Linked DNA regions of Saccharomyces cerevisiae S288C. The gene in region 2 interacts genetically with the main gene of each other region. Each region holds a gene or a part of one and is shown on either strand. Other genes may lie near its edges.

Region 1 (5,196 bases), on a different chromosome or scaffold from region 2:
GCGATCAAAAAAAGGCCCATTTTTGTGTTCCGCGTAATTGGTTTGCGCCTTTCCATGGAGCTTGGTGGGCGACATTCTCAAACTGGTTTCCTGATACATCATGCACGCCCGTAAAGGGTTTAAGTATTGATTGCTAGCCTGAATGTTTCATATGCATACCGTGTCTATGCAACGAATATATTTCAGAAAAAAGCACGAAAGCCAAATTTTTGATGTTAAGAGGTGTTTTTGCCCGTAAACGGAGAAGACGTGGTAGGACTCGCAAATGTCGCGTTTAGCGTTGAAGAACATGGAAGTATTGAACGTTTGGGGCTTGACGGCTCGACTTTTTTGCACTACTCCGCCTTGAACAGACGGATGATCCTGGCGCAAGAAACAAAGAGAATCAACTCTGAGCAAAGCGAAAAAATGAAATACAACGATAATAAAAGGATAGGAAGGTGTATATATAAGTTAATTTTAGATATAGATTAAGAAAAGATGGGCATATACTAATATGACTACAAAATTGCACATTTTTTACTTTTCTTGATAACAGGAGGCTCCAAGGCGGCCACGATAGCTTCATCGAATACATTCTTCAAACCGCGTTGTGTTAGTGCCGAACACTCGACATATTTTACTGCTTTCAGTTCTCTTGCTAACCTGGAACCTTGTTCTGATGTAATCGGACGTAATCTTTGTCTTTGCAACTTCTCGATGATTACCTTGTCATCCCTTAGATCAATCTGCGTACCGACGACCAGGCATGGTACACCTGGACAATGGTGATGTACTTCAGGGAACCATTTTTCTTTAACGTTTTCAAAAGAGGGTGGGGAAATAACACTGAAACAAACCAAAAATACATCAGTAGAAGGATATGACAAGGGTCTCAATCGATCGTAATCTTCTTGACCGGCCGTATCAAACAAACCTAACGTATATGGTTCATCACCAATCATCACAGTCACCGCATAGTTATCGAACACTGTTGGAACATAGTCGGCTGGAAATTGATTCGTTGTATAGGAGATTAGAAGGCACGTTTTCCCAACAGCACCATCACCGACAACAACACACTTTAGCGTTTGCATTTTGTGGAAGAGCTAATACGTTTATTTCTTGTTTTATAAGTTTTGCTTCTCTAATTCGTTTGTTAACCTATCTCCTCAGGAAAATAGAATAGTATAATAAATAACGAATATAATTTTTTGCGACAAAGGAAACCTATTGCAAAAAGTGAAGAATGACAGAGAAGGATAATCAGTATATCTCGGTACACCTGGAACCTATTTATCAAAACGCTGCTCTTGCCTTTTCCAAGAATCGCGTCTATCATCGATCAATCAACCTTGTTTGCTTTTTTTTATCACTTTTTCCCGTATCTTGTTTCATTTGGAAGGGCCCAATGGAAGCAGTATTACCCGTATTGAATGACCCTTGAATCGACGGTGGAAGACATCTTTAATGCGATGTTTAGAAGACAATGTGCCGTATTTACCTGTATATGTGGATTATCTAACAGTCTACAATACAAAATTAGGTGTAACGTAGCTACAACAGTTGATAGAAATAATGCAACTTTTTTTAAAAAAAAAAGAGAAAGTGCTCGAGGTGGGGATTGAACCCACGACGGTCGCGTTGCTTTTAAAGGCCTGTTTGAAAGGTCTTTGGCACAGAAACTTCGGAAACCGAATGTTGCTATAAGCACGAAGCTCTAACCACTGAGCTACACGAGCATTTTCGAAAGAGACGTAAATTAAATTGTTATTTATACCGTAGATGATTGTTTTTCACGAAATTACCCTTTTGAGTTCCGGCTTGTTTCGTTCAACAGTACTACCACTGATAAGTTAGCTTCATTATTGGAAGAAGGTTGATAAATGAAAGAAGATTCACGACTATGCACGGCAACTGGTAAGTAATACACGGGCCCAGATATTTATTTTAATTCTTGGAAAGAAAGTATAAATTTATAGGTTCGCTATCAGTAAGTATACGAATTTCAAACTACGTCATATATAATATCCAAAAGAAGATGAAGGCGATGCGGTCACTCTAGGACTACAACTTATCCATCGCCTCATTTAGTGCATTCACCGCAATGTATACATCTGAAAATGTATTATATAAGGGAGCAGGAGCCAATCTAATTACGTTTGGTCTTCTTGCATCGCCAATGACACCATGGTCATGCAAATATTGGAAAACTTTGGGCATAATATCCTCTTTTCCAGTGTCAGAATCGAAGTAAAGTGACAATTGGGCGCCATGTTCTTCATCTGTGCTTGTTGGAGTTAATATTGTAAAAAAACATGGTAATTTCTCGATCCTTAAAGGGTGTTTGTAATACTTGGAGGCTTCCAACAGTTCCGTCATATAGTTCGTCAGCAACAACGATCTTTTACGAACTTCATTAATACCATTAAACTTCGCAAATAATTCCAATGAACTTCTCAATGCCACTGTGTCAATAACGCTTGGATTAGATTGCCTGAATCCCAATGCTCCTGGAATCGGCTCGAATACTTCCAGCATTTGAAATCGCTTAGCAGGATCATTGCCCCACCAACCAGCTAATCTTGGCAAACTTTCCTTAGCAGGGTCTGGTTTAGTATGCTTCGAGTGGACAAATAAGCCACCAATTCCACCAGGCCCGGCATTCAAGTACTTGTAAGAACACCAACAGGCAAAGTCAACACCCCAATCATGAAGTTGCAATGGGACGTTCCCTACAGCGTGTGCTAAATCCCATCCAACCAATATGTCGGGGAATTGGTGGGCAAATGAGGTGATTCGGCCAATATCGAAATATTGCCCCGTGTAATACTGAACACCTGACAAACAGACCAGCGCCAATTCATCTTGATTTACCTCTATGGTATCCAGGATATCTTGAGTTCTGATATAAGTCTCTCCCTCGCGTGGCTCGATCTGAATAAAAACATTCTCAGGTTCCGAAATTCCATGAATTTTGCACTGGTTGTAGAAAGCATAATAGTCTGATGGAAAGGAGCCCTTTTCAAAAAGGATCTTGAATCTTTTCTCAGTAGGTTTATAAAACGTAATTAACAATGAATTCAAATTTGCAGTGAGACTATTCATTACTGCAACTTCATTTTCTTGAGCACCCACGATGGGGGCTAGTAGTGGAAGAATAGGTAAGTCAATGCTGACCCAAGGCACCTTTCCTCTGGCTTCTTCAGGATGTTTGAAATGCGATTCCACAGCACAATCGCTCCACGCATCTAGCTCAGCATTAATTGAATTCCTAGTTGACTTCGGCATCAAACCTAAAGAATTCCCGCATAAGTACGTCACAGGCTTATCGTCGGACGATAGTCCCATGGATTTAAATGTAGGGATGTTGAATTCATCCCTCAGAGATTCCGGATATTCTCCGTCTAATTCCAAAGCTTTCTCCATAATTACCAGTTTGTTTCTTTTTTCCACAGAATATTTAGGCTTAATATGTACGTATTGACAGCATATATATTTGCTGTCTTGAATTTATTATGCTAATAAATAATTATGTTTTTCAAGCGCAGTCACCTATTTCCAAAGCGATGGGTTTGTCCGTGCCGTAGACGGCATCCCGTCGTTTTAATAACCGTTATAAAAACCGCCCCCATATTTTCGTGGGTTGACGACGACAGGCGTGGACGACGTTAATTGACGTCGTCATAATATATTTCATATTATGATTTTTTCCCTCACCATTACTTGTTCTCTCAAGTAGGAGTATCTGGCACTTGGACGGTGATGTCCTCATCAGCATCAATTGCTTCGTCTGGATATGAGAGAAAATCAGAGGATAGTGGGCCAGTGATAGTTTTTCTCCCTCGTGAAGCAGCATGTTTTACCAACTCAGAAGAAACGCCATCTTTTTCTGGGAGCGGAGACAATTTTTTTGTTCTCCGGACATTTGCAAATTGTTTTTCCAGTTCTGTCACAGCTATTTTCCCGGCTCTTTTGCGCTGTTGTTCATCTCTTTTGGCCTCAACTTTTCTCGAAGAGACTACTCTTTCCTGTTGTGTTTTTACATTTATTTTGGAGGAAATTTCCGATAATGCTATTTGGCGTTTTATTTTAATATTTGGGCTTATTAAATCAAACTTATATTTGCTGGCATTCCATATGACGCCGGTGTCATTTTTCTCTAAAAATTTCATGCCAGAAAATATTATTGATCTAATTCGCAGAACACATTCTTCTTTTGGAGAAAGCACTTTAGTCAATGTAGGGCATCCAATTATATTATTAATCATGTCGGGAGAATCATACACATAATCGTCATTAAAATCTGTTAGTGCAAAGTTAATGCAAGAAAATTCCCTGAAAATAATATCTTCTCTAAAAAGATAGCTTCTTTTCGGCCTGTGGCTATATATATTTCCTGAACAATTCAGTGGACTATTTATCAAGTCGTTCAGCAACAAGGCGAATGAAGTGCAAAACTTCCTGTGTCTGTGAGTGTACTGCAAAATAGATCTATATGACTTAATCCAGCACATAAGCAAACGAATAATGGCTAGATATCGAAAGTCTTCCATGTTTTTTTGCCAGGAGGGTTTGATGACGACGTCTATGATATTAGCAATAAAATCAAAGCTCAAGTCTAAAAAAAAAACCTGGCGCTCACTCAAATCTGCATATTTGAGTTTGTTCTTTTGTTCCTTACTTTTTCGAGTTGTAAACATAAGATCGAAACTTCCCATTGTGGCAGCCAAGTTTTCAAGTATAACATTAATATTACCTGAATGATACTTTAATGCAGCCATTTGTAAATGCTCTTTCAATAACCAACAATTAGAAGCACGTGATGCGTTCCATGACTGTGGAACCAAAGTGTGTTCTACTATCGATAGAAATTGCAAAACAATTTGACCTTCAAAGAATGATTTCTCACCTTTGAGATCTTTTGACACAAGAATTGCCAATTTTTTCATCAGACGTCTTCTTTCCGGAAAATCAGGAGTCAAAATGAAATCTTTCAAATTGTTTAACGCACATTTAGACGGAATCCTTACCAATGCTCCTCTTACTAATTCAAAGAAATACAGTGAGAATTTCCCAGTGATCAAGTAAATTTTCGCTCGTTGAAAATAAGTATCTCCAACGGCTGGGAGATAGAGTGAGGCAATATTCAAGTACCTAATAGACTTCTCAAAACCTTCCACACTCTTGGGTTTGTTAGACGGCTTGTTTAGTAGT
Region 2 (5,788 bases):
GTTCATTTTTCGTTATTTCTGGCCAAGCGATTTTGCAAGCCTCTTTGGCCAGCTCTCGCCAAGACTCCTAGTAAGAAATTGACAGATCTCAATGAATCATCGTTACCTGGGATAGGGTAGGTCACCAAAGAAGGTTCGGAGTCAGTATCGATGATTGCGATAGTTGGGACCCTTGATTTAATTGCTTCTAACAAAGCGTTTCTATTTTCTGTGGGATTTAATACGACCAGCAAGTCAGGCTTAACCTGCTTTGATGTTTCATTCGGTGATAACGCTCTTTCGGTGGGATTGTCATTAGAGTCGATTTCCTGCTTCTCCCAGATACCTGAAATTTCTGTAGAATTCGTCAAAGTACCCGGGATCCATCTGGTAGACACATAATAACCATGTGTCTTCTTAGCAGCTTCCTCGAGCCCTCTTTTCTGGCCTTGTCTTGTACCCAGAAATAGGATAATGCCACCGGATTCCGAAACGCCCTCTACTACCTTGGCGGCTCTCTTCAAATAGGACAAAGTTTGGTTTAGATCTATTATGTGAATACCTTTATATTCACCGTATATGTAGGATTGTGTGGAAGACCTCCAAAGTGAGGTAGACTGGCCCAAGTGAACACCAGCAGACATTAAGCTCTCAACAGTAATGTTTTCTGGGAGGGGCGGATAGAAAATGTCCTTATGAGGATAGTAAACCTTCGAAATAGTGGCACCCAATTTAGCGGTACGCATGGAATGGTTTAGTTGACGCAAGAAAAGTTCTTGAGAGGAATATGGTTTGTCATTGGCCGAAGGTATAAGGTTAGGGTAAGGCTTGGTTGGCGTGGCTGCTGCTGTCGTTGTAGAAGATTGTCCATCTAATGTCTTGCTGTCAAACAACTTGTTCAACAGAGCATAATTTCTGAAAAAGTCACTCAATTCAGCCTCCAGCTGCTGTTCTTTGTCAGAGAGTTTGTCTTGCTCTAATGACTTTTTCAACTCAGGTAATATTTCATCTTCTGGTACCTGAGATAGAGACTTCAATTCTGATCTAATTTCATCATACAAAAGTTTCTGTTGCAACAGCATCACCTCATCGTTATTGTTAGGGGTGTTGGCCGCACCGGATGCTGACGACTGAAACCTTTTGGTAAGGGAAGGGTTCCTCAATAAGGAAAGACGTCTGAAATTCCTCGCAAAAACGTGTCTCTGCATGAGAAAAGAGTCGTTTCTCACTTTTTATTTCTCGAATCACCTGTATTTGTGCCCCGCGATAATCAGGCTCTCGAGCGTATGTACACTTGCCAGAACTGATTATTATTTACCATCAAATATAGCAGTGACCTACGACATACAAATTTCATCTCTCGGATTCACTTACCGAATTGATTTTTTTCTTGCACTCTTTTCTGACCCGGCACGGCCTTTTCTTACCGAGATAAACAGGAAAATAGGGCAGTATGCGTGTGTTATACGTGAGAGAGAGCAAGCGGGTGAGTATTCGTTTCATTACAGTTTATGCATTAACATAAACGTATACATATTACACATACACATATACATAGATAGATACATATACGCATATATTAATGCTCAGGTGCAATAACGGGTGCAACAACAGCAGCAGCAGGATACAATATGCAGTTTGAAGAGCGGTTGCAACAGCTAGTAGAAAGCGATTGGAGCCTGGATCAGTCAAGCCCAAACGTACTGGTGATAGTCCTTGGAGACACTGCCAGGAAGTACGTAGAGTTAGGAGGACTGAAGGAGCACGTGACTACGAACACTGTGGCAGGTCACGTGGCAAGCCGGGAGCGGGTATCCGTAGTTTTTTTGGGCCGGGTAAAGTACTTATACATGTACCTCACCCGGATGCAAGCGCAGGCGAATGGTCCGCAATACTCTAATGTACTCGTCTATGGATTGTGGGATCTCACCGCGACACAAGATGGACCGCAACAGCTGCGGCTACTTAGCCTTGTGTTACGGCAGTGCCTCAGTCTGCCATCTAAAGTTGAATTCTATCCAGAACCGCCTTCTAGTAGCGTGCCTGCCCGGCTATTGCGATTCTGGGACCATATTATCAGATAGCTGCATTGTGTTACATGCGATATCGTAGAAGACGATAGAACGAAAAAGAAACGTTAATCTTTTTTTCCTTTTTTTTTCGATTAAAAAAAAAAAATTTTCGCCTCGTGGCCCGAAACACGGCCAAGAGAGGGAATTCGAAAGTCTACCGCTTTTGGCAGCTGAAAAATTCAGAAAGTCACCTGGCCAGAGAGGAAAAATACGAAACCAAAAAGAGGCATCCGTAAATTCGCATTAGCAACGCATGCTTACATAGATACTCACATACTACACACACTTACATACTTTCTTAAAGACATACATCCGTACGTACAATTAGAGCGAGGTAGCAAGCAACCCAAACTTCTTCCCTTCACTGCCTCACACCCCATCCTAAATATCCCACAAGATCCTCGACTAATACAAGAAATGAGCAATGATCCATCTGCTGTATCGGAACTACCAGACAAGGACAGTCTTGATAACGGTATCAGCAATGACAATGAAAGGGCCATGGGCGGCAATGGCGATGGCGGCGATGGATTACGATTACCAAGGACCACTGGAACTTTGAACGTCAATGCCTTACAAAAAGGCACTAATGCTGCCCATGAAGCTGGTGGATACAAATCCATGGATCCTGCGAAGAACGCGGAGACAACCAATGATGATGACAATAATGTCGTTTCACTAGATGATCCTATTCAATTTACCCGAGTATCTTCCTCCTCTGTCATCAGTGGAATGTCTTCATCCATGAGTCCTCATTCTAACATCGATGAAACCAAATCTCTAGAAGCAGTCACTCCAAACATAAATACCAGCAATATAACCCCGGATCATTCTGCTGACAACACATTTTCTACCATAAATGCGTCCGAGTCAGATCACCAGTTTAATGACACTTTACTATCAAAACTGTCGTTAACAGATTCTACAGAAACTATAGAAAATAACGCGACAGTGAAGCACCAGCAGCCAGTTGCATCTTCCACAGTAAACTCGAATAAGAGCTCCACTGATATACGAAGGGCTACACCAGTGTCCACTCCCGTTATCTCTAAACCATCGATGACAACCACGCCAAGACAGATCAATTCAGCTTCCCATTCGCTTTCGAACCCTAAGCATAAGCAACATAAACCAAAAGTTAAACCGTCCAAGCCTGAAGCAAAAAGTAAACCGGTTTCTGTGAAAAAAAGCTTTCCTTCGAAAAATCCTTTAAAAAACTCCTCTCCACCTAAAAAGCAAACAGAAAAATCGTATTATTCTTCCTCTTCGAAAAAAAGGAAAAGCGGTTCAAATAGTGGTACACTAAGAATGAAAGATGTCTTTACGTCCTTTGTACAGAATATAAAGAGAAATTCTCAGGATGATAAAAGGGCCTCATCGTCGTCCAATAATTCTTCCTCATCTTCTATAACCACCGCTTTGAGGATATCTACGCCATACAATGCCAAGCATATCCACCATGTGGGCGTGGACTCCAAGACTGGTGAGTACACAGGTTTGCCGGAGGAATGGGAAAAATTGTTGACTTCTAGTGGTATTTCCAAAAGAGAACAACAGCAAAACATGCAAGCAGTCATGGATATTGTCAAATTCTATCAGGATGTCACGGAAACAAACGGTGAAGATAAAATGTTCAAGACTTTCAACACAACCACAGGATTGCCGGGAAGTCCTCAAGTTTCAACACCGCCTGCAAACTCATTCAATAAATTTCCTCCGTCGACAAGTGATTCGCACAATTACGGTTCCAGAACAGGTACACCAATGTCCAATCACGTCATGTCTCCAACCTTAAATACAGATTCTAGTTCAGCAAACGGGAAATTCATACCAAGTAGACCGGCTCCTAAGCCCCCATCTTCTGCGTCCGCTTCAGCTCCAATTATAAAATCACCCGTCATGAATTCTGCCGCCAATGTTTCGCCCTTGAAGCAGACTCATGCACCTACAACTCCGAACAGGACCAGCCCAAACAGGTCCTCAATATCAAGAAATGCCACTTTAAAAAAAGAGGAGCAGCCACTACCACCAATACCTCCAACCAAATCCAAAACGTCTCCAATCATCTCCACAGCTCACACACCACAGCAAGTTGCTCAATCGCCAAAAGCGCCGGCGCAAGAGACGGTAACGACACCTACTTCGAAGCCAGCTCAAGCAAGAAGCTTGTCTAAAGAATTAAATGAGAAAAAGAGAGAGGAAAGGGAAAGACGTAAAAAACAACTATATGCCAAATTGAACGAAATTTGCTCAGACGGTGACCCAAGTACAAAATATGCCAATTTAGTAAAAATTGGTCAAGGTGCATCAGGTGGTGTTTATACTGCTTATGAAATAGGTACGAATGTCTCAGTGGCCATTAAGCAAATGAATCTCGAAAAGCAACCAAAAAAGGAGCTAATCATCAATGAGATTCTGGTCATGAAGGGTAGCAAACACCCTAATATAGTTAATTTCATTGATTCTTACGTTTTAAAAGGCGACCTTTGGGTCATTATGGAATACATGGAAGGTGGCTCCTTAACTGATGTGGTCACCCATTGTATTTTGACAGAAGGTCAAATTGGTGCCGTTTGTAGAGAAACTTTGAGTGGGTTGGAATTTTTACATTCTAAAGGTGTTCTTCACAGAGATATCAAATCCGATAACATCCTATTGTCCATGGAAGGGGATATTAAGTTAACGGATTTCGGTTTTTGCGCTCAAATCAATGAATTGAACTTGAAAAGAACTACTATGGTGGGAACGCCTTATTGGATGGCGCCTGAAGTGGTTTCTAGGAAAGAATATGGCCCAAAAGTAGATATCTGGTCGTTGGGTATCATGATCATTGAAATGATCGAGGGGGAGCCTCCATATTTAAATGAAACCCCGCTAAGAGCACTGTATTTAATTGCTACAAATGGTACACCCAAGTTAAAGGAACCCGAGAATCTATCGTCAAGCTTGAAAAAATTCCTTGATTGGTGTTTATGTGTGGAGCCCGAAGATAGAGCAAGCGCTACGGAATTGCTTCATGATGAATATATCACGGAGATAGCTGAAGCCAATTCCTCATTGGCCCCGCTAGTCAAGTTAGCAAGATTGAAGAAAGTAGCTGAGAACATGGATGCTGATGAAGATAATGACGACGATAACGACAACGAGCATATTAATAAGACAAACAATTGTGACGACAATAACGATAGCAAAGAAACCGTAAATTTGGACGTAACTGAAGATGATAAACAAAAGTAAACGTAGCAAGCAGGGTACACCTTATTATCGACAAAGTATATACACAGTTGTGACTGGCATAAAAATTCTTTTCATATATCTTATCGTGTATATTTGGACATTTTATAACACATCCCACTCTAATTCACAACTTCATTAACGAAATTTAAATAAATCACGACAACAGTTTTGCTTAAAACTGAGGAATATTGAAACCAACTCAAATTCTTCCTAATTTCAGGCGTATAAAAATAACAAAGTCTCATCGAGTGTCGGGTACCATTACACGAACATCTGTCTGCGTTCTATGTAACGAAGGAGAGGTATTATCCAATTTTGGAAATATCCGTAATATTGTCCTTAGTGCACGAACTATATTATCCCGCAAATTCAGGGAAAAGAAAAGAAGTAGAAAAAAAAAAATACCATGGGAGTCAGTTCTTGTTCAGCTGAGAGAATTACGCTTGTTTCTTATTTCCCACATATACGAGAAATTCCTACCGATATAACATCCTCTCTCG

What was found.
Region 1: of STE20 (region 2) and CDC42, extra expression of one rescues a mutant of the other (dosage rescue), as found in Saccharomyces cerevisiae (7 studies listed by BioGRID, with this or other methods).

What each region holds. Positions count from the first base shown.
Region 1 is NC_001144.5:603,712-608,907, forward strand, and holds CDC42 (Rho family GTPase CDC42), read right to left. Parts: upstream 1,077-5,196; coding exon 501-1,076; downstream 1-500. Other genes in the region: BNA5 (kynureninase), read right to left, coding at 2,047-3,408; EST1 (Est1p), read right to left, coding at 3,714-5,196. UniProt on the Saccharomyces cerevisiae protein: Involved in development of cell polarity during the cell division cycle, and essential for bud emergence. Affects signaling in the pheromone-response pathway through the STE20 protein kinase.
Region 2 is NC_001140.6:94,618-100,405, reverse strand, and holds STE20 (mitogen-activated protein kinase kinase kinase kinase STE20), read left to right. Parts: upstream 1-2,468; coding exon 2,469-5,288; downstream 5,289-5,788. Other genes in the region: mitochondrial 37S ribosomal protein uS2m MRP4, read right to left, coding at 3-1,187; YHL005C (uncharacterized protein), read left to right, coding at 1,186-1,578; SHU1 (Shu1p), read left to right, coding at 1,611-2,063. UniProt on the Saccharomyces cerevisiae protein: MAP4K component of the MAPK pathway required for the mating pheromone response, haploid invasive growth and diploid pseudohyphal development. Links the pheromone response G-protein beta gamma subunits to downstream signaling components.